Ovis aries: one gene and its partners. The protein of the gene in region 1 interacts with the protein of each later gene in a pairwise test. Links are inferred from orthologs where the notes say so. Each region holds a gene or a part of one and is shown in the gene's direction. Other genes may lie near its edges. The genes, in order: COQ8A, TMEM239, LDAF1, AGTRAP and TFIP11.

Region 1 (4,274 bases):
AAATAACCCCAAACACTGCTAGGGCCACTGCTAGGGCACGCCGGCCTGAGGCGTGGGAGGCCGGCCAATGCTGCCAGCCCAAAGCGAAACGCAAGTGGGCGGGGCCGGGCGCCGGAGGCGGACGTGCCTTCAGCAGGCCCGCAAGGCTTCCCAGCTCTGTGAGTCCCTTCTGGGGAACCGGGAGAGGGCTCCTCTCCTCATTACATAACGGCCTGAGCGGAGCGGGCCCGCTGTAGTCGCGACGGCTCCTTCCTCCGCCTCTACAAAGCCCGGGGAGTACCAGCCCGGGACAAGACAGCCGACAGCGGTCACCGCAGCTGCGTTTGCCGTCCCGTCTGGAGAAGGCAGAGGTCTCCGGGCACACGCGAGATGTCTCTCTAAACCCAATGCGTGGTCCTCAGTCCGGCTTTTTCAACTAGGGGAGAGAGCAGCAGCGAGGGGGAAGAATGGGAGGGGCCCTGCGCGCTGAGGAGGTCTCCCATTGGCTCCTCTCTCTCCGCTCTCAGACCCCATTGGCCGCGGGTCGAGCGCACGGGCCGAGCACGCTGCCCCGCGACGCGCGGCGTTGGGCTGAGGCGGCGGCGCAGCCAATGGGAGTGGCCCGCGGGGCAGGGCTGAGGGCTCTGGGTCTCCGGGCGCGGGCGAGTTGGTAAACAGATCCGGAGCGCGTGCCGGGCGCCAGCGCTGAGGCGAGCGCGCGGAGGTTGCGCGAAGGTGACCGCGGATCCTAGCTTCCTGCAGCCGGGTAAGGCTGCTGCCCGCCGGCCGCCGCGTGCCCTGGGCGCCGCCTGCCTGAGGCCAGAGCAGGGCTAACCTCCCGCTTGGGCCCTTCTTGCATCCTCAAGTGACAGCGCGGCTTCCCCTTTGCGAGTTTCATTTGCCCCGAGTTCCGGGCCACGGCGCGGTGGGCGCGCTTCAGAGTGCAGGGTGGGCGCCTACGGCTGTCTGCTACCCCCGTTCCCACAGCCCATATCTGTCTCGGGGAGGGTGTGAAGGCTCCCTGCCAAAGCCTTGGGTCCTCGGAACTCGCCTAGCAGCCCTGGTGACCTGATGCCTTGTTTCTTGGTCGCCAGTACTGCTTTCCTGCCTCGCTTTCTTACGATGACATTTCTCTTCACGCCTAGACCCCTTTGCACTGTCTCAGGGGCGCTAATTGTCCCTGGCCTGAGGTTTGTGTCAGAACGTTGACGCCCTTGGCCCTAGCCAGCTGTTGGGTTTCACTGGTGAGGGTTTTGTATGAACATGGGAATGAGGGTCCTTTTTGGTTCTGTTCTCTGTTGGCTTTTCTTTGGCCCGTCCTCCTGCTTCTTCAAACACTGGGGTTCTTGTCAATGGTCGTGCCTTTCCCCAGTGCCTGCCCCTCTGCCAAACGGAGGCCGGTCCTCCCATGTACCTTGTGGGATGGGGAATACTGCTGGGGGGGCCGGTCTGGATGCTGGAACTCTCCATTTGGATGACAGGTGCCAGTCCTCTGAAGGCTGAGCGGCTTCTGTGCAGCCTTTCATCCTGGGTAGGGCCTGCAGCCCATTGGGAAACTCATCTATGCTCAGTTGGGCCTTGGGTGTGCGTGACAGAAGACTGAAGAGTTGGACCTGCCAGGCCTAACTTGCTGTTGAAGGATTTGAGGGTGCATGATGCCAGCTTGCCAGCTGTTATGCTGGCAGGAGGGCCCATCTCTGGAGAAGGTACAAAGCAGGAGGGTGCGGGGTGGGGGGGGGGACTGGTGATTCTCAGGGGAAACACCTTTATGATTGATGATGGCTTTGGGTATTTTCAACTTTGAAAATGATGCAGACAAAACAGGGTTATGATTTGGGGCCTGACCTTGGACAACTCAAAGGAAAAGTGAACCAAGGTGGTCTGAATGCTTCCCTGTGTGTCGCATAAGCCAGGGTTTCTCAATTTTCAGCAGCATCCCTGGCCTCTATCCATTAGATGCTAGTAGTACCCCGCTCATCTTCCCCCACTAGTTGTGGCAACCAAAATTGTCTCCACACATTGCCAGATGTCTCCTGGAGGACTCAGTCAACCTTGGTTGAGAACCACAGAGATAAAACTGTAAGAGTCTTCCTGTGCTGCCAGAGGCCCCCTGGGACCTGTCCATGAGCAGCTGAGAAGTTTAGGTAGCAGATAGCACTGTGCTCTCTGTCCTAAACCAATGATAGAAGCCATGTTGGTTGGCCTTCAAGGGAATTTCCTTACCCTCTTCTCCATACCTGGGGGGATAGGAGTGAGATAGGAAGTTAGAAACCTATGGGCATTAGCTGAATGCATGGCAGAGACTGAATCCAGAATACAAAAGAAGTGGGGATGCATACTAAGTCGCTTCAGTCGTGTCCGACTCTTTTCGACCCTATGCACTGTAGCCTCCTCTGTCCATGGGATTCTCCAGGTAGGACTACTGGAATGGGTTGCCATGCCCTTCTCCAGGGGATCTTCCCAACCCAAGGATCCAGCCCAGGTCTCATGTCTCCTGCATTGGCAGGTGGGTTCTTTACCACTAGTGCCACCTGGGAAGTCCAAAAGAAATGGGAGACTTGTGGTTTCTGTCTTTGGGGACTTTGCAAGACTGTGGGAGATATGCATGTGAAATAACCATGGGGTGGTTTGTAAACCGTGAGCAAAGAAGTTTAAGCTGTCAGTGCTGACTGAAAGGCCAGTTCAGTTTTCCATAAGTGGCTTTTGCAAAGGGATGCTTTGCTCATCCTCACTTATTTACTAAGACATCTATTACGTTTTATGATGTGAGAGGGGGCTAGGCCCATGTCTGCAGAGAGAAAGTGTCTGCATTTCAAACATGTATGTGGGTGTATTTACTTGTACCGTGTACACCTCCAGAAAGAGGCTACCCAGAAGTGTACTGGTGCAGAATGGACACATGCTTTTCCCGTTGATTAAAGCATCAGAGACAGTGTCAGAGACAATGAGCCATTTGTTTTTGCAGGGAAAGTCATTTTACTTCTGAGTCTAGAGTTTGTCTTCACTTTAACCCAGAATTTATGCCCCAAATTCCAAAGTCCCAAACTGATGGGGATGCCAAAAAGTGAAGAAACAATGATTATTGGACAGGAAAAACACCCCAAGTCCCTATCGTGGATTTCCTTTTCTTGTCATTGATTGGTCCTATGGGGATGTATCAGGATTTTCCCATAACACTCCTTGGTTTACTAGGGGGTCTTTTGGGTACCCTTTCTTGCCTGTAGAACAGAATCTGGACAGGGAGGTCAGTCTTCCTTTCTCAAAAAGAAGTTTAGAGAAGCTTATTATTGGGAAGCTCCAAACTCGGCAGGATGATTTTCCATCAAGAGCTGTGGACACTGAGTCATTATCTTTGTCAGTTGAAACAAGAGCTGTGTGCAAAATTAGACAGGAATATTTAGAGAGTTGTCTTGATCTGACAGTGGCATCTGGAAATAGTTCCAGCATTCTTGCTAAACAACAGCCAGGAACTTGGGAGAGCCAGAGAAAGAAGAGCCGGTGGGAGGGGGGAATGTGAGGGTCCTGCTCCATTAGGAGTTGTGCCCATGCAGGGAGAGGGAGTAGTGGGAATGGGGTCTGCTGACTCTGAAGCAGGGTCAGGACCCTGAGTGGGGTGCATCTGGGTGGGCTTCTCCCCACAACTTTCAAACCTGAGTGGTGTGTTAACAAGCATGTTGTTCATTGTGGGGTTATAGGCTCCTGAGCTCTTGACCTTTTTGCTTTGAGGTCATGGGCCTACAGTATATTTAAAGTTGGAAATGATCCTGAAAAAAATCTTTTTATTCTTCATACTTGAATATGACTTATTTTTTTTGTTCTGTCCATGCAGAGAAGGATTCATGAGAAAGTTGAGAGTTTTTCACTCAACTTGCCATTTCAGAGTATTGTAGATTCTCTAATAGTGACTGAGTTCTTGTCTCCAGAGCCCTCAGCTTGCTTTCAAAAACATTGTCCCATTTCCTTCTGGGTGGAGGGAGAGGGGCTGCGTTTGGTCCAAACCTGGGAAATCGTGTGTACCCTAAGGGTTGGTGCCCCTCCATGTCCTGCCCTGAAGAAAAGCCCTCTGTGACATTGTGGGTGGGCTTCCCAGGGGGCACTAGTGGTAAAGAACCCACCTGTCAACGCAGGAGATGTAAGAGATGTGGGTTCGATCCCTGGATTGGGAAGATCCCTTGGAGGAGGGCCCGGCAACCCACTCCAGTATCCTTGCCTGCATGGACAGAGGAGCCCGGTGGGCTACAGTCCATGGGGTTACAAAGAGTCGGACATGACTGTAGCACTTTAGCAGCAACAGC
Region 2 (4,163 bases), on another chromosome or scaffold:
AGAAGCAGGAGCAACTCCCGCCCCAAGGCCTCATTCCCATGCATGCCGGCCACATAGCGTACCTCAGGCTCTCCTGGGAACAAATAGGGGCTTGCAGCTGGCTCATGCACCTGCCCCTCCCTGCTGCTGTGCCCACCTCTTCCACCCCACCTGCCAGTACCCAGCTCATGCTCCCCGGGCTGGTCTGACATTTCCATCACATACAGCTTCAAGCCCTGGTGGCTCCTCCCGATGCTGTAGATGCGGGTGATGTTGGGGCATTGCTCGTTCACTTGCTTCATCAGCTGGGGGGTGAGTGTAGCATGGTGAGGGGCATGGGAGGAGCAGACCCAGGGCTCAGACCACACGAGGCCATAGAAGGACTTCAAAAGTTTGCGAGGGCCCATACGATGGGGACACCATTGGCGCAATACAGGAGGGGGCAGGAGCCAAGGAAGGAACGGTCAGAATAAGAGAGGCACCAAAGCAAGGGAAATCGTAGAAGTTTAGGGGTCAAAAAGAGGGTGAGATGGAGAGGGACACGAGGGCAATCATAGCAAGTTATGCCCTGGTGGGCAGGAGACCTGAGATGAGCAGATCCTCCCTCCTGGGTCATAGGGGTTACCTTCCTCATGGCTTTATAATCATGATGCCGGAAGTCTAGTGAGTCGGAGGATCCCAGCACGGGAACCTCAGGGAACGGACCATTGGGATCTGGTAGAGGATGAGTTCACAGTAAATGGTGAATTCCCAGGGGAGGGTGTGCCCTGCCCAACTAACCCTTGTCTTTCTCCCCACCTGAGACTGGGCAGGCCAGAATCTCTGCCCGGAGGCAAGATGCACCTCCCTGGAGCCAGGTCTGGGGCAGCAGGCGAATGAAACGGGCCACCTGGGGCTCAGGCAGGAGATTTAGCACTGGTGTCTCTGGATCCGAATTGGCAGGAAATACCTGAGGGCATCAAGTCCTTTGTAAGGGCCGCTTGAACCCCGGCAGCCTGGCTCAGGGCCCAGGAAGATGCTCAGGCCTGTGAGCTCACTGAAAAACCCACCCTAGTGGGCTCAGCTAGACACTTGCTCTCTGCGTCAAACACAGATTGCTGCCCACATCCTTTGCTAACAGGCAGCCCTAGGCAGTCATCCTTTCCAGTTTAGTCACAGCTCATTAGACCAATATGGCCATGTGACTCAGCAGTAGGCAATCCTGAAGCTGGCCAGGATCCCACACTGTAGCCTGAGGAGATGAGAAGTGATGCAAGGACTGAGGCCCATCGCCAGAAGGGGTGTTCCAGCAGGAAGCTGTGGCATGACGAAGTATTTGGGAAGGATGCGGGCATGGTCCAAAGCAACCTGGCTCCTGAGGCTGTCTGCTGGGTGCCACCCACCCTTTCTCCTGGGATGCCAAAGTGGGCACCTGTGTCTTGTCCTCAGAGGAGTCCAAGCCCAGCCCAGCACCCTACAGTGGGCCAGGAGCCCAGCTCCCAGCATAGAGGGCCCCAGCCACCATGGGACTTCTCACCGCATCCATCCCGCTGCTGCGATTCTTACTCCCCCACCAGGTCTGACTGTCATTGCTGAACTGGACTTTGTATGAAGTGACCCAGTCATACCTGGCAGGAAAGGTGGGTAGAGATCATGGGTGGCCCCCAAGCCTCCCACCCCAGTCCTCCTGAGTCTGCCCATAACTTTCCTGGCCTGGAGCTGTCCTGCCTCACCTCCAGATGGAGTTCCTGCCCTGTGTGATAATGCCCGAGAAGCGGGTGAGGTGTCCAGCATCCACCTGAAGCCATGGCTCAGCATCCTGCTGCTCGGCACACCAGGCCCCATCAAAAAGATCACCATCTTCCAGGCCTGACTGTGGGCACGGGACGCAGCAATCAGAACTGGGTAGGCCTTAAGGGAAGGTGGGAGGGGCAGGGAAGAAGGTCCTAGGGGTTGCCTTGCTGACCTGGATGTTGAGCCGTCCTCTGTGTGGTCCAAGACCAAAGGATTGGCTGCTAGATGCGTAGAGCTGGTTATCTGAAACTCGCAGGGACTCCAGGCCCAAAGGGGGACAGTCTGGGACAGGGACAAATCAGTAAGTTGGGACCAGAGAAACAGTGGTCAGAGCAGGTGGAAAGCTGAACCCAAGCTTGCCCGTGTGGCCAAGAGCTACATTAGTTCATGTCCCAGAGACTGCAAGTCTGGGCAAGGCCCTTGGAGTGGTGGTACCTGGTTCTTGCTTCTCAGTGAGGTCAAGGGTCCCTGTAGGGCTGGTGGTCACTGAAGGCCTGGCAGTCACTGGGGGTCTGGGGTGAGTTAGCTTCTTTCGCTTCTTCGTGACAATCTTTTTCTTCTTGATGACTCGAATCCGGACATGCTGTTCTGAAGTCCCTGGAGACCAAACAGGCAGAGCAGCAGGGAAGGAAAGGATGGCAGGAAACCTCAAATGGAGCGGTCTACCACCCCAAGAAAACCTGCAAGTCCACAGAAGGCCCCACCACACGTATCCAAGGACCTTAGCATGGACTTTAAGGCCCTCAGTCTGACCCCAACCTACTGTTCCAGCCACTTCCTTGATTCCTTCTCCCCTCTGGTGTGACTACTTGCTTGGCCCTCACCAATAGAGGGCTACACTGCCACCAGGAACTACTTGCTTGCTCCAAAGAGCTGAAGTTAGTTCTTTAACTCCTTCTTTTCCTGGCTGTCCCCTTCCCTATCGTATATCCATCACCTTTGACTTTCTTTTCGAATTCCCATTCTTTCTTCACATCTCAGTCCAGATGCATTTCGGGGAGCCTTCCTTAGCTCCAGGCTCAGTCTCATGCCCTCAAAGCCTCTGTGCCACTTCCATCACTGTGCTGAGAGGTCCTGTCCTCAAACTCATGTCTGTCCAGGTTTTCCAGCTTTCCAGACTTGGACCCCTGCCCTGCCTGCCCTTCAGTATAAAGCATTCATGGCACAGGGCAGATGCCACTGGTTCCCCACTGAGATCCACAGCTGCCCACCCCACCCCCCACACACACACTGCACATAACTGTGTCAGGGGTTGGTACCTTTGCACATACTGTTTCCCTCTTGGCTGCGCTCCTCTTCAGCTCTTCCTAATTCAGAGCTACCTTTCAGAACCAGTTCCACCTGCCTCTCCCAAGAAGCCCTCTGAGGCTGCCAATCCCCGTGCTTTCCTCCTCTCTCTTGCCACCTCTGAGAAGCTGAGAAGTCCGGCAGCCTTCCTGGTCCCCACCCCAGGCAGAGCCGCGTCCCTCCAGGGCACCTGGCAGAGAGCGCTTCCTCCCTTCCCCTGTTCTTTCCTTTCAACCGCTGGCTCAAGCCCACACAGTCTTGCTCTGCACCCTCCTCGGTGTCTTTGCACCTCTCTCTACCCTCCTCCTGGCTCTAGCCTCAGTTTCCCCATCCGAGAAACAAGAAAGTTTGGGGCTGGAAGAAGCAGCATCCCACTGGCTCCTGTCCCAGGACTGCTGACTTGGTCTGGCCGGGAACTAGGGCTGCTGAGTCAGCAGCCATTGTACCGCGCAGGGAGTGTGTGCGCGTGGGGCAGAGTCGCCACCCAGGCGCTAGGCAGAGTGCGGCGTGTGTGGCGTGTGTGAGGTGTGTGCGCGCGTGCTGGGGAGGGGTCGCCACACGGGGGTCGGAAGAGTGGGACAACCGATTAGCGGGAGAAGCGGGCCGTGGGTAGGACGGAAGCTCACCTTTCTCCTTCCCCGCGGACGGCTGAGCCGGGCTGCTACGGGGGGTCGGGACCGGGGCCTTGGTGGTCGCCAGGCCCAGCACGGAGGTGCTGGGCGCCCCTAGATCCACCTCGACGGCAGGCGCGAAGGCGGCCAAGGCGAGCAGGAGACCCCACATGGCGGGGTCCAGGGCGCGGACGCACTGGTCTCGCGGCGGCCGGTGGGCTCGCCTTTTCCTGCTGGGGCTCCGGAGCCCCCCGCCCCTTCCTGCCGCCGCTGCACGCCCGCCCACAGCCGGCTCGCTGGCCTCGGACCCGGGAGCCGAGGGGTTGGGAGGGGAGGGGAGGAAGAGAAGGGAGGAGCAAGGGGAGGGCCCAGGCTGGCCGCCCCGGGTCTCCGCACCCACCGACCCTGCCCTCATCTCCACTCCCCCCGCCCCTCCGCATCCGCCCTCGAGCTCCCGCCTCGCTCGGGCTCTGCCCTTTACCGTCGCAAAGGCCCCAGGCTCCCTGGATTCTA
Region 3 (4,076 bases), on another chromosome or scaffold:
ATGTTAACTGCTTAGTGTGATGATTATTTTGCAATATAAACAAATATCAAATCATACACCTGAACTAATACTTATATGTCATATGTTATATGCTAACTCTACTGCAATTAAAAAAAGGAAAAAAAGAAACCAAATAACCTTGAAAAAACATAGGTTAAAAAAAGGACAATACATTAAATATTTCTGGGCTCCTTCCATGTTCCTGATAGGTGCTAAGTTCTTTACAGCCATTATTGCACCAGTCCTCACTACAACCCTGTGATTGCTCTTCTCTTTCTTCAAGAGCTATTTTCCAGGGGGCTATTGACCCAAGTCACAGATGAAAGTAGATCAATACATGTCCCCAGATGGACGGAACCTGAGAACTGTGCAGTAGTGGACCGATTTCTCAAGTCTATCCTTCTCTCCATTTTACAGATGAAGTGGTTGCAGAGAGATAACTCTTCCATGGCCTCATAGTAAGAGTCTGACTTGGGACCAGAGTCTAGCACTGTTGGGTCCCGGTTCACTGTCTTCACCAATATGTTCTATGGCATTTGTTCTCAACCTAGACAACTGTGCAGGGAACATTTGCTCATGTTTGGTGACATTTTTGGTTGTTTGCAGGGAAGGAAAGTACTACTGGCATCTAGTGGTTGGAGGTCAGGCATGCTGCTAAACATCCTACAAGGCATAGGACAGTCCCCTCAACACAGAACTTTTCTGCCCAAAATGTCAATGGCGCTGTCCCTTGAAAAAACCCTACGATAGGGCTGGATTTCAGGTCAGGGAACATGCATTCTGGCTCTGGATTAGACGTTTTTATGTATAAAATGGAGATACTAATCTAACAGAGTTTTTAAGGATCTCATTGGCTCATGATGTTTGCATTTGAGAAGTAGTGGTGAAAACCTTCCAGTAAAGGAATCAGCTCATCACTTGTCTGTCCTGAGCTCCAGAGATGCTTCCAGAAGAGGTAGCTCAGGGTATTTAGGCAGAAGCCCTAAGACCCTGTGAAAACCCATTTATACCTGCCAGTTCACCTGTCTCAGAGATGGCCGGGGCACCCTCACCACAAGCCAAGAGTGTAGGAACGACAACTCTCTCTGCGCCTTAGTTTCCTCACGTGCTCCTCGTTCGGGTTTCTCCCGGAAGCTCCAAAATGCTGAAGGAGGCAGCCCTGGGAGAACTGCGGAGGCTGGAGCCGAGCGAAGGGCAGGGGCGGGGAAAGGAAGGGGAAGAGCGGGGCGGGGCCACGCGGCGGAGGTGGGTAGCTGGCTGGGGCGCAGGCGAGGGCGGAGGCTCACGCGCCGACCCCACGGCTCCGTCAGCTCTCCTTTGCTCCTCCTGCACCACGGCCCCGGGGACCAGGTGAGAGCTCGGGCTTGGGGAACCGAGGGCCCCGGCTGGCTAGACCTCTGGGCCGGGCTGGACAAATGGAGGAGCGCGGGGGAGGAGGTGGGTTGAAAGGGGAGTCGGTGACATACACACACACACACACACACACACACACACACACACACGCACACACACACGCGGAGTCCCATCCTTCCCGGCCGCTGCTAGACACAAACACACACCCCCCTCCTACTAAGGGAGGTCTCATGCCTCCCCAGCCCCTGCGACACACACACTCCTACACCTGCTACTGCTTTCGGTAAAGGGTTGCCACCCCTATCCAACCCCGAAGACCCCTCCCTTTCTTGGGAAACCTGGTTGGGAAGTCTCCACACCTCCTCTTTAGGAATCATAAAAAAATGGATGCCCTCATCCCTACGGGGTCTCCCTGCCCCGTCGCTGCAGGAGGTACCAAAGGTGGATTCTCCTCCCCAAATTAATGACGGGGTACTCGGTGCGACTTCTCTCCATCCCGGCTGGAACGTTCAGGGTTTCCGTTTGTCCTGGGACGGGTGGGCGAGGAAGAGAGGGGGGCTTTTAGCGGGTGGGCCGTGGAAGGGAAAGGGCGGTTTGGCTTGTGTTTTCCTGGCTCAGCCCGGAAGGCCTGGAGAAGGCAGAAGGCGGGGAACTGTGCGGTGCGTCGGATTAAGGGGTTGCCCCCTTCCCTCCTCCTGAGACCTGTCTTTGCTTGAGGAGGCCCCTCCGAGGAGTGAGTGACTAGGGGGTCTGGGGATTGGTGGCCAGCTGATTGCATTTTATGGCTGTGGCCAATGGCTTTCTACCCACGCTATCCACATTGAACTTCCCAAACCGGTCCCGATGGCCCCTAGGTTTCCAAGGCCCTGGGAACCAGTGATGGGAGCTGGGCTTGTTCCTGCCCGTTGCAGATTTGAGATTAGGGGAGTTGAGTGCTGGGAACATGGCCAATTCTAATCTGTGCCAGCTGCAGCTTCAGAGACAGAATATAGGGATGAAGGGTCTAGTCCTGTCCAGTCCAGGGGATTCCTGTTTCACAAAAGGGATTGTAGCAGAGAATCTCTAGCTGGGTGATTAAAAATGTGCTTTAATTTGCTACTAGACCCTATTGGAGAAGGAAATGGCAGCCTACTCCAGTCTTCTTGCCTGGAGAATCCCATGGACAGAGGAGCCTGGCGGGCTGCAGTCCATGGGGTCGCAAAGAATCCGACATGACTTAGCAGCTAAACAACAACAGCAGACCCTATAGATATTAGGAGATGTGTCGTCCCTGGTGCCTCAGTGGTGAAGAATCTGCGTGGAATGCGGGAGACTATCCACACTGAACTTCCCAGACAGGTCCGGATGGCCCCTAGGTTTCCAAGGCCTTGGGAACCAGTGACTGTAGCTGGGCTTGTTTGTGCCTGTTACAGATTTGAGAGTAGGGAAGTTGAATCCCTAGGTTAGGAAGATCCCCTGGAGAAGAACTCCAGTATTCTTGCCTGGGAAATCCCATGGACAGAGAAGCCTGGCAGGCTACAGTCCATGGGGGTCCCAAGATTCCACATGATTTACCAATTAAACCACCATCATCACTTCCCATCTCGCATAATTACCATGTGGGATGTTGAGTATGGTAAATAAATATGAACGTCTCTCAGTTAATTTTGTCCACTGTGATAGAATCTTTTAGCACTTGTGCTATAGGTCAGGAGATAAGTTGTAAGGAATAATGGAAAAGATATCTCTGTGTCCAGCCCAGCCTTACAGTATTGTTCTGGAAAATATAAAATAATAATGTATTTGTTTATATAAAAATTAAAAAGGGTTTAAAAAATAGATATATAATTTAACAAACAGCTTTTATTATTGGGACCGTCCTGGAAATTCCAGGCCATTGAGTCACAGAGTATAATTGTGGCAAAGTTTGTCCCTCTCTTATTATGGAAATGAGACTTACAAGTAAATAGAGAGTAATTTATGGCATAATGTGATTGGGAGCCAACCTATTTAGTGTGGGTAGTAAATAAAGAAATTGGCCATGGTCATATGTTTGAGAAGGCTTTCTGGCAAAAAAAAAGGCAGTGGGACTCAAAATAGTGTCTTCAGCCTTACTTTCTTCTGTATTCTTTTCAGCATTTTATCAGGCTAAAAAAATAAACATAAGCTCTCAGAGATGATACCATTAACATTTTATTATATGTGCATCTAGATCTTTTATTTTACTGTGGATATATGTATATTATGGATATATACATAAAATGTAATAATCGGTATTTTATAATTTTTTCACATCATAGACATATTTTCATTAAATAAGTGTCAACATCATCTTAATGGCTATACAATACTCCATTGTATGCTGCTGCTGCTAAGTCGCTTCAGTCGTATCCGACTCTGTGCGACCCCATAGACGGTAGCCTACCAGGCTCCCCTGTTCCTGGGATTCTCCAGGCAAGAATACTGGAGTGTGTTGCCATTTCCTTCTCCAGTGCATGAAAGTGAAAAGTGAAAGTGAAGTTGCTCAGTCGTGTCCGACTCCTCGCGACCCCATGGAATGCAGCCTACCAGGCTCCTCCGTCCATGGGATTTTTCAGGCAGGAGTGCTGGAGTGGGGTGCCATTGCCTTCTCCGACTCCATTGTATGAATTTATCATTATTTAGCCTGGAAACTCAGGTTCCTGGAAAATAAATTTTTGGGTCAAGGTGTGTACAATTTGATATTTTGGTGGATACTGCCTGGT
Region 4 (4,290 bases), about 12 Mb from region 1:
CTACATCCTTGGATTAAACACCTCTACAACTGAGTGACTTCACTTTCACTTTTCACTTTCTTGCATTGGAGAAGGAAATGGCAACCCACTCCAGTGTTCTTGCCTGGAGAATCCCAGTGACGAGGGAGCCTAGTGGGCTGCCATCTACGGGGTTGCACAGAGTCGGACACGACTGAAGTGACTTAGCAGCAGCAGCAGGATCCAGGGTTTATAGGAGACATCTCTTAGAAGGAAACAATAATGTTATAATATCCACTAGTTACTGAGGAATTCCTCTTTTCTAGGTACTATGCCAGTAACAATAATTTATGATAATTAACTAATAATGAATATCAAAACAGTAGCAAGTCCTGATCAAGGGCTGTCTGCCAGGCAATGTTCTAAACATTTTTACATATTAACAAATCCTTATTAACAAATTCAAAATAACCATCCTTCAAGGAAGATACTATTATTTCTCTCATTTTACGGATCAGAAAACTGAAGCACAGAGAGGCAAAGTGACTTGCTCAAGTAGAACCAGTAAGTGGACAAAGTTAGGACTCAAACTCTTTTCTCTGGTCCAGCTAGTCCTCTGGGCTCTGAATCCCAACAATCGTGCCCAGTGTAGCTATCTGTCCGGTCTCTGAAGCTTACCAGCTCTCTGTTACTCTGGCAGATGTGCTATTCTGCTCAGGGGGCTGGACAGCTGTGTCTCCAAAAGGGACATTCAAATAGGCCAGCGGACTCCGCGACCTTGCAGAAGACCCCACTGCTGCTGCTGCTAAGGCGCCTCAGTCGTGTCCGACTCTCTGCAACCCCATAGACGGCAGCCCGCCAGGCTCCCCCGTCCCTGCGATTCTCCAGGCAAGAACACTGCAGTGGGTTGCCATTTCCTTCTCCAATGCATAAAAGTGAAAAGTGAAAGTGAAGTCGCTCAGTCGTGTCAGACTCCACACCCACCTGGAAAACTCCGCTCTTTGTATCTAGAGTCTGTATCTTGATAGGATCTTAGGACCCACCCAGCCAGTCTTTCAGGTTTCCACGTGGTCTCTCCCCTCCTGGAAATAAGAATAAGCACTCAGCGGGACAGACCCAAGGGGATCCCAACAGTCTTGAATAAGTCTTCCTTACCTTTAAAGTAAGTGTCAGTATTTTTTCTTCAAACATGAATTAGTTCATTCATCCTCAGAAGGATTCTATGAGGTAGGTAACCGTCTTCACTTTCACTGGGGAAGGAGGGAGGAGAGACTGTGCCCTCAGGGATGAGACACCAGCTGTTACCACATCTGCAGATTGTACTTGGAGGTTCCCCCAAGTTCTCCTGGCTGCAGGTGGTCCCGTCAGCCCACCTGCTGGGATTTTAACTCGGCGAGATATTGCGCCCTTTGCGACACAAATCTGGATATTCTCCAGCCGCCCGCCACCCCGCCCCCGCCCCCGCCCCCGGCCCCGCCCCCGCCCCGGCCCCGGCCCGCCCCCGCCCCCGTCCCCGGCCCCGCCCCGTAACTACCTGGGCAGTGGCGCAGTGAAGGCTCAAGCAGCACGACGCCGTCTCCTAGATACCGGGCCGTCGTCACATGACCTACTCACGTGACCCCCCCCCCACAGCCCAGCTGGGGTTGGAGCTCTGGCAAAGGGCAGCCGGCGGGGCGGGGCTGGGCAAGTTTGTTTCCCGAGTTCGGAGACCAGGAGCCCCCGCGGTTGTGGCGCAGGTGCTGTCCGGTTGGGTCGCGATGGAGCTGCCAGCCGTGAACCTGAAGGTGGCGATGGGCGGGGCGGGTCTCCCGGAGCGTGTTGGGTATTTGCGCTTTTAGTAGGTGATTTTAGAGGTGAGGATTTTAGAGGTAGAGGACCGAGAATCTGGGGAAAGTGGAGTGGTGGGGAGAAAGAGAACGAACAGAGCCCAGGTGTAAGGAGGTGGGCGGACAGACCATACCAGGAAGACAGATCCAGAAGGCCAGCAGGAAAGACCGAGAGGGAGCTGGAGGAGGGAAGCAGCCGTCTCTTCCCTAAGACCGGTTCAGCTGGGAGCGCTGAGCCCCTGAGGCTCGCTTTGGCCTGCGCGCCCAGAATTTCTCTGGAGAAAGAGGAGAGCGTGGTGGGGAGGGACCCAAGGAGAGCCCGAGGCTGGACTTGGAGGCAGGACACCTGCCTTCCACCGAGAGAGGGGTAAAGCTTTCACCTGGACCCCCAACACTGCCCTTACCGCCTCTCTTGTTGGGAAGATCAAGTTAAGGAAATCAAATGATCCCAGACAGATGGTTTTTCAGAGTTGATAGATTCAACGTCTTTATTTCTTAAGCAACACAGACACCAATAGAATTTACTCAAAAGCAGAATCCCCCAACTTTGCACATTTAGGAAAACACTGTAGGTCGCTGGGGTGTCTTCATTTCCTGAGCTGTAAGAATGCCAAAGGCTGTTCTTCTTTTTCTCCCCGCCCTCCTCCAGCCCAGTGTTTCTTGGCTGGGTTTGCCACTGAGAGGCTGAAGCCTTTAGCTTTGGTCAGAAAGGTTTTAGCCTTGGACCAGACCTGCCATCTGCGGCCTAGGTACAGTTTCCTTTGAGATTGTATGCAGGAGTACCCTCTTATTCACCCTTGACAAAGCATTATGCACCCATGGTGTCTGGTCCTAAAGTAAGAGATAGATGACTACAGAACAATACATCATCCATATTTGGATTATTAGACATGGTCTGTGTTGTGACTTCACGTGGGCACATTTCCTTAATATTGAACACTTGCTTCAGCAGACCTCTCCGAGGCTTCCAGTCAACTGCTGCAGGGGGAGAGATGGCTGTGACAAGGGAATGGGCTTGGATTGAAGGTTTAGCAGGGAAGAAATTTACACGAGGGCAACTGAGGTTCATTGGTATCAACATTCACTCTGTTCCAGGCTGTGTGCAGTTAATGCCGACTACCTTTTCTCTGATTAGAGACTTGCCTAAAATAATTATTAAGGGGGAAGGAGGAAAGGGACAGAGGAGCAGGAACTGACGAGGGAGTGAGCCCTAATTCTTAGGGCGTCTGTGGTGTGCCGGGTTATTTATTTAGTCGTATCAACCTTCTGAGATTTTTGTAGCTGAGCCAACTTCAGCTCAGACCAGATAGGTAACTTGTCAAGGCCCCACAGAGATTAAGTGGCAGAGTCAGAATTTGAACCCATCACGGTCAGACTTCAAAGCTCTGTCTTTTCCTGGCCACCATTAGTTAGGGCCAACTTCTGCTTTGACAGTTAGTGCCCAGTGGGAGGGCTTAGTCTGTTTGTGGCTTTTTTTTTTTTTTTTTTTGGAGAAACTTTGTGGGCCTCACAGGCCACACGTGACCACAGATGTGAGCTTTGCCGGCTTTCACTGCCCACAGTGAAATAGCTGGTCCTTTCTTTGACTTGGGAAATAAAACACCATATCTCTAAGGGTCTTAGCTGCTACCAATCAGAGACAAGTAAGTGCTGAGAGGTCGTGAACAGCTAGGGTTGCCAGGTGACATTGAGGACATCCAGTTGAGTTTGAATTTCATATCAACAATGAATAACTTTTTAATCTAAGTATGAAAAGTGAAAGTCATTCAGTCGTGTCCAACTCTTTGTGACCCCAGGGACTGTACAGTCCATGGAATTCTCCAGGCCAGAATACTGGAGTGGGTAGCCTTTCCCTTCTGCAGGGGATCTTCCCAACCTAGGGATCGAACCTAGATCTCCCACATTGCAGGAGGATTCTTTACAGCTGAGCCACCAGGGAAGCCCCAGGATACTGGAGTGGGTTATCCTATCCCTTCTCCAGTGGACCTTATATCCCAGGCAATATTTGGAACAGTCTAGAAAATTATTCATTATCTGAAATTAAAGATTAACTAGGGGTTCTGTTTTTGTTGTTGTTTTTTCTGGCCTCCCACAGGAGTCTAAGTGGGCTATTCTGAGATCAGAACCCCTTGGGAGCTCAGAAAATGCCCAACCCCCCAACCCTGCACTACCCTTGCCCTCCTTTCACACATTCCTGGGGTATTGGCTCAGTGCCTGCTTGTGCCCAGCCCACCCACAGTAGGCAGTGGTGCCAGGTGAACAGAAGCAGCTGCCCCGGGCCCTCCAGGTAGTTCCTAACCCAATGCCACACATGAGGCAAGTCCTGAGCTGAAGGAACGTCATTGTGAGAGTTTAGAAAGTTCTAGACTTGGGTTCATGAGGGCTTGTGAGAAAAGGCCCTTGGGAGGAGGGTGCAGGGGGTTAGTATAGCATGAGGGTTAAGAATTCCGGAACCTGACTGCACAATAGTCAGGGACTGCCTTGTCTCGGGGCTTCCCAGGTGGCT
Region 5 (3,509 bases), on another chromosome or scaffold:
TCTCTTGTCTTCCTACGTTTACATTCCAGTCCCGTGTGATGAAAAGGGCATCTTTTTTTGGTGTTAGTTCTAGAAGGTCTTATAGGTCATCATAGAACTGTTCAACTTCAGCTTCTTCAGCATTACTGGTCGAGGCATAGACTTGGATTACTGTGATATTGAATGGTTTGCCTTGGAAACGAAGAGAGATCATTCTGTCATTTTAGAGGTTGCACCCAAGTACTGCATTTCAGACTCTTTTTTTGACTATGATGGCTACCTCATTTCTTTTAAGGATTCTTGCCCACAGTAGTAGATATAATGGTCATCTGAATTAAATACACCCATTCCAGTCCATTTTAGTTCATTGATTCCTGAAATGTCAGTGTTCACTCTTGCCATCTCCTGTTTGACGGCTTCCTATTTATGTTTATTATCATCAGTTGTTATGATTACTGATGTTTGAATGTATTCCTCCATTTTACTAGTACTATTAACAGGCTTTATTTCTTAAACCTTTTCCTGCCTTAATCGAATTTACCAAGTTACTGTTGTTTAATGTTAATTAACTTTTGGCCACACTGGGTCTTTGCTGTGCAGGCTTTCTCTAGCTGAGATGGGGCTGCCCTCTAGTTGCCATGTACAGGCTTCTCGTCGTGGGGGCTTCTTTAGTTGTGGAGCGTGGGCTAGAAGCCGCATGGGCTTAGTTGCCCATGGCATGTGGGATCTTCCCCGAGCTGAGACTGAACCTCTGTCCCCTGTGTGGGCAGCAGATTCTTAACCACTGGACGACCAGGGAAGTCCTCAAGTCATAGCTTTTGTTTTGAGGTTTTTTTTAATGTATTAACTAAAAGGAAAGGCGGACAGTCACATCATACTTAGAATTTTTAGTCAACTCTATGCCGTCATTGGTAAGTCTGAAGTCACAGAGTTGAGACATCAGGTCAAAGTGTCGAATGTGATTACAGGGGAGCCGGGTCTGGGGCACTGAGGACAGGAGTCAGCGCTGCTCTTTTGAAATGGATCCCATGAGGTGTGCTCTAAGGAGCTCTCCTGAGAGAGTTCTTACAGACCCCCTTGTGTTTGCCTGCAGGGCCCGCGACTACTCGGCCCCTGTCAACTTCATCAGCGCGGGGCTCAAGAAGGGGGCGGCAGAGGAGGCGGAGCTGGAGGACTCCGATGATGAAGAGAAACCCGTGAAGCAGGATGAATTTCCTAAGGATTTCGGACCAAAGAAGTTAAAAACGGTAGCATCTTTATTGAAGGGCTGTGACCTTTGTAATGTCCCCAGAAGGTCGCTGTGGCCCTGGCATCTGCTGGGGGCCGGTCATGTGGGCCTCTCCCTGTGGGAGCAGGTTTCCCAGGGGTGGCTGTGCCGGGCAGTCTTTGCACTGTCCGGAGACGTCCCTGGGGTCCTTGTGGTTCATAGGGTACTTCTCACAGAGCTCCGGGACTGCCCGGCCATGGTTGCATCAGCCGAGCTTGCTTGCTTAGGTTTTTCCTTCTTTGTTTTCAGGGTGGCAATTTTAAGCCCAGCCAGAAAGGTTTTGCAGGAGGAACCAAGTCTTTCATGGATTTCGGCAGCTGGGAAAGACACACAAAAGGAATCGGACAGAAGCTTCTTCAGAAAATGGGCTACGTGCCCGGAAGGGGCCTGGGGAAGAACGCTCAAGGTGTGGTGCCCCGCCCGTGGGCACTCGGGGGGCAGGCAGGGGCAGGGAGGGGCGCGCTCTGCCTTTGCTCTGCTTTGTTGCTTTTCTGCCAGAATGTGACAGTTGTGCTCTAAGCTCCGCACTTTATCAAAACTCAGGTTACATAAGATGCCATATTTCAGCATGGGGGAGGGGTCAGGCTTCATACAGCCTGATGGGCTGAAAACAAGCTTCTTTCTGGCCTGCCCAGTGTTTCTAAAAAGTCAGATCAGTTGCCAGTGTTTAAAAATCAGTTTCTCCTAGGTTGTAGATAAGCTACAGCTTAGGAGGTTGGCAGGGATTGAGTTAGCTGACAACTCCTGCCCCGGTCAGCCCCTACAGTTTACTTATTCTGCAAGCTGTCTCCACACCACAGCCCACTCTCCTTGTTCACGTTACTGTGCCTGGGCTCTGCTCACAAAGGGGCAGGATAGGTAGCTTAGCTGCATGAAGCATCCATGGACTTGAGTGAAGATTGGAAAGGTGGCCTGGAATGAGAGTGAAGGCTGTTCTAATTTGGGAGCTCAACAGTATGAGCTGGAAAGGGTCTGGTGGGAAGTTTGGGGTGGGGGCAATTCTTCACAGAAATGCTGTAGTCCTGTTTGTAAACTTTTTTACAAGAAAAATGCATTTATTTTCAAGGCGCAAACTAGTGTAGAGCAAAGCAAGCGTAAGAGATAGGAACTACCAATGTGAAATATTATACGAGTGTAATAAGTATGAGTGATGAGTGATTGTCACTCATTCGTGTCCGACTCTGTGACCCTATGGACTGGAGCCACCAGGCCCCTTTGCTCTGGAATTCTCCAGGCAAGCATCCTTGGGTGGGTTGCCATGCCCTTTTCCAGGGGATCTTCCCGACCCAGGGATCGAACCCTGGTCTCCTGCACTGCAGCCAGATTCTTTACCAGCTGAGCCACCAGGGAAGCGTGTGTATATATATAATATAATAAGAAAACAGATGGTGTTTAAATGGCGGCTCCCCCTCTCTTTAGTCAGAATCAACATACCCTTCCCGTAGTGATTGGCTTCCAGGCAAACAGCGTAGGCCAGAGTCGGTTATAACTACTCCCGTCTGGTAAGTGAGTGACCGCAGTGGAAGCGGCCCTCAGGGCCTGCGTGCGCTCCTGTTGGCACACTGCTCTGTGATACCGGCAGCAGGGCCAGGTGGGGCGGGCAGGAGCGGCTCCTCTCTGGGCGGTGTGCTGTCCCATGGGAGGACCAGGGAGCGGGTCTCCGCGCGTGGCACACCCACATGACGGCAATGACCGCAAGTCTGTCTCTCTGAAATCCATCAGGCATCATTAACCCAATCGAAGCCAAGCAGAGGAAGGGCAAAGGTGCGGTGGGGGCGTACGGCTCGGAGCGCACCACCCAGTCCCTGCAGGACTTCCCTGTGGTCGACTCGGAAGAGGAGGCCGAGGAGGTGGGTTGGGAGGCGGCCCTGCTGGCCTGTGCGCCTGTTGGTCGGGGTTGGTCTGTCTGCTCGTTCGTTAGCTCAGCCAGCGTCCGGGGTTCCGGGGTCGAGCTCACGCTGTGCACTAGCACGGGCCAGAGGCTGGTGTCCCACCATCAACAGGGAACACAGCATACAAGTAACCAGTGTGGTCAGAAATGGGGGTGTGGGGACAGGGTCTCGCCTTTGTAGGTGGGAGTGGGTGTCAGGCAGCCTCCTCGGAGGGGTCAGCATCACACAGCACCATTCTCAGCACGGAACCGTGTGGAGGTCTCAGCAGCCCTTTCATCTTCTGATGGACCATGTCCCTCTGACTCAGGAATTTCAGAAGGAGCTGAGCCAGTGGAGGAAAGACCCCAGCGGAAGCAAGAAGAAACCCAAGT

Evidence for each region.
Region 2: the proteins of COQ8A (region 1) and TMEM239 interact in binary tests that used the Homo sapiens proteins (3 or more experiments, as listed by UniProt). The two-hybrid records come from large-scale screens. The link is inferred for Ovis aries from reciprocal best matches to the Homo sapiens genes COQ8A and TMEM239.
Region 3: the proteins of COQ8A (region 1) and LDAF1 interact in binary tests that used the Homo sapiens proteins (3 or more experiments, as listed by UniProt). The two-hybrid records come from large-scale screens. The link is inferred for Ovis aries from reciprocal best matches to the Homo sapiens genes COQ8A and LDAF1.
Region 4: the proteins of COQ8A (region 1) and AGTRAP interact in binary tests that used the Homo sapiens proteins (3 or more experiments, as listed by UniProt). The two-hybrid records come from large-scale screens. The link is inferred for Ovis aries from reciprocal best matches to the Homo sapiens genes COQ8A and AGTRAP.
Region 5: the proteins of COQ8A (region 1) and TFIP11 interact in binary tests that used the Homo sapiens proteins (3 or more experiments, as listed by UniProt). The two-hybrid records come from large-scale screens. The link is inferred for Ovis aries from reciprocal best matches to the Homo sapiens genes COQ8A and TFIP11.

What each region holds. Positions count from the first base shown.
Region 1 is NC_056065.1:29,192,193-29,196,466, forward strand, and holds the start of COQ8A (atypical kinase COQ8A, mitochondrial), read left to right. Parts: upstream 1-1,465; 5' UTR 1,466-1,631; coding exon 1,632-1,685; intron 1,686-4,274. UniProt on the Homo sapiens protein: Atypical kinase involved in the biosynthesis of coenzyme Q, also named ubiquinone, an essential lipid-soluble electron transporter for aerobic cellular respiration.
Region 2 is NC_056066.1:52,098,498-52,102,660, reverse strand, and holds the start of TMEM239 (transmembrane protein 239), read left to right. Parts: upstream 1-1,359; 5' UTR 1,360-1,495; coding exon of another isoform or gene 1,496-1,586; 5' UTR 1,587-1,691; coding exon of another isoform or gene 1,692-1,831; 5' UTR 1,832-1,863; intron 1,864-1,924; coding exon of another isoform or gene 1,925-2,034; intron 2,035-2,187; coding exon of another isoform or gene 2,188-2,349; intron 2,350-3,665; coding exon of another isoform or gene 3,666-3,822; exon of another isoform or gene 3,823-3,885; intron 3,886-4,163. Other genes in the region: CPXM1 (probable carboxypeptidase X1), read right to left, coding at 1-73, 161-284, 605-693, 778-928, 1,496-1,586, 1,692-1,831, 1,925-2,034, 2,188-2,349 and 1 more.
Region 3 is NC_056077.1:19,455,660-19,459,735, forward strand, and holds the start of LDAF1 (lipid droplet assembly factor 1), read left to right. Parts: upstream 1-1,276; 5' UTR 1,277-1,437; intron 1,438-4,076. UniProt on the Homo sapiens protein: Plays an important role in the formation of lipid droplets (LD) which are storage organelles at the center of lipid and energy homeostasis. In association with BSCL2/seipin, defines the sites of LD formation in the endoplasmic reticulum.
Region 4 is NC_056065.1:41,204,306-41,208,595, reverse strand, and holds the start of AGTRAP (type-1 angiotensin II receptor-associated protein), read left to right. Parts: upstream 1-1,484; 5' UTR 1,485-1,559; coding exon 1,560-1,694; exon of another isoform or gene 1,695-1,715; coding exon of another isoform or gene 1,716-1,742; intron 1,743-4,290. UniProt on the Homo sapiens protein: Appears to be a negative regulator of type-1 angiotensin II receptor-mediated signaling by regulating receptor internalization as well as mechanism of receptor desensitization such as phosphorylation.
Region 5 is NC_056070.1:66,361,931-66,365,439, reverse strand, and holds part of TFIP11 (tuftelin-interacting protein 11), read left to right. Parts: intron 1-1,072; coding exon 1,073-1,226; intron 1,227-1,495; coding exon 1,496-1,652; intron 1,653-2,968; coding exon 2,969-3,096; intron 3,097-3,445; coding exon 3,446-3,509. UniProt on the Homo sapiens protein: Involved in pre-mRNA splicing, specifically in spliceosome disassembly during late-stage splicing events. Intron turnover seems to proceed through reactions in two lariat-intron associated complexes termed Intron Large (IL) and Intron Small (IS).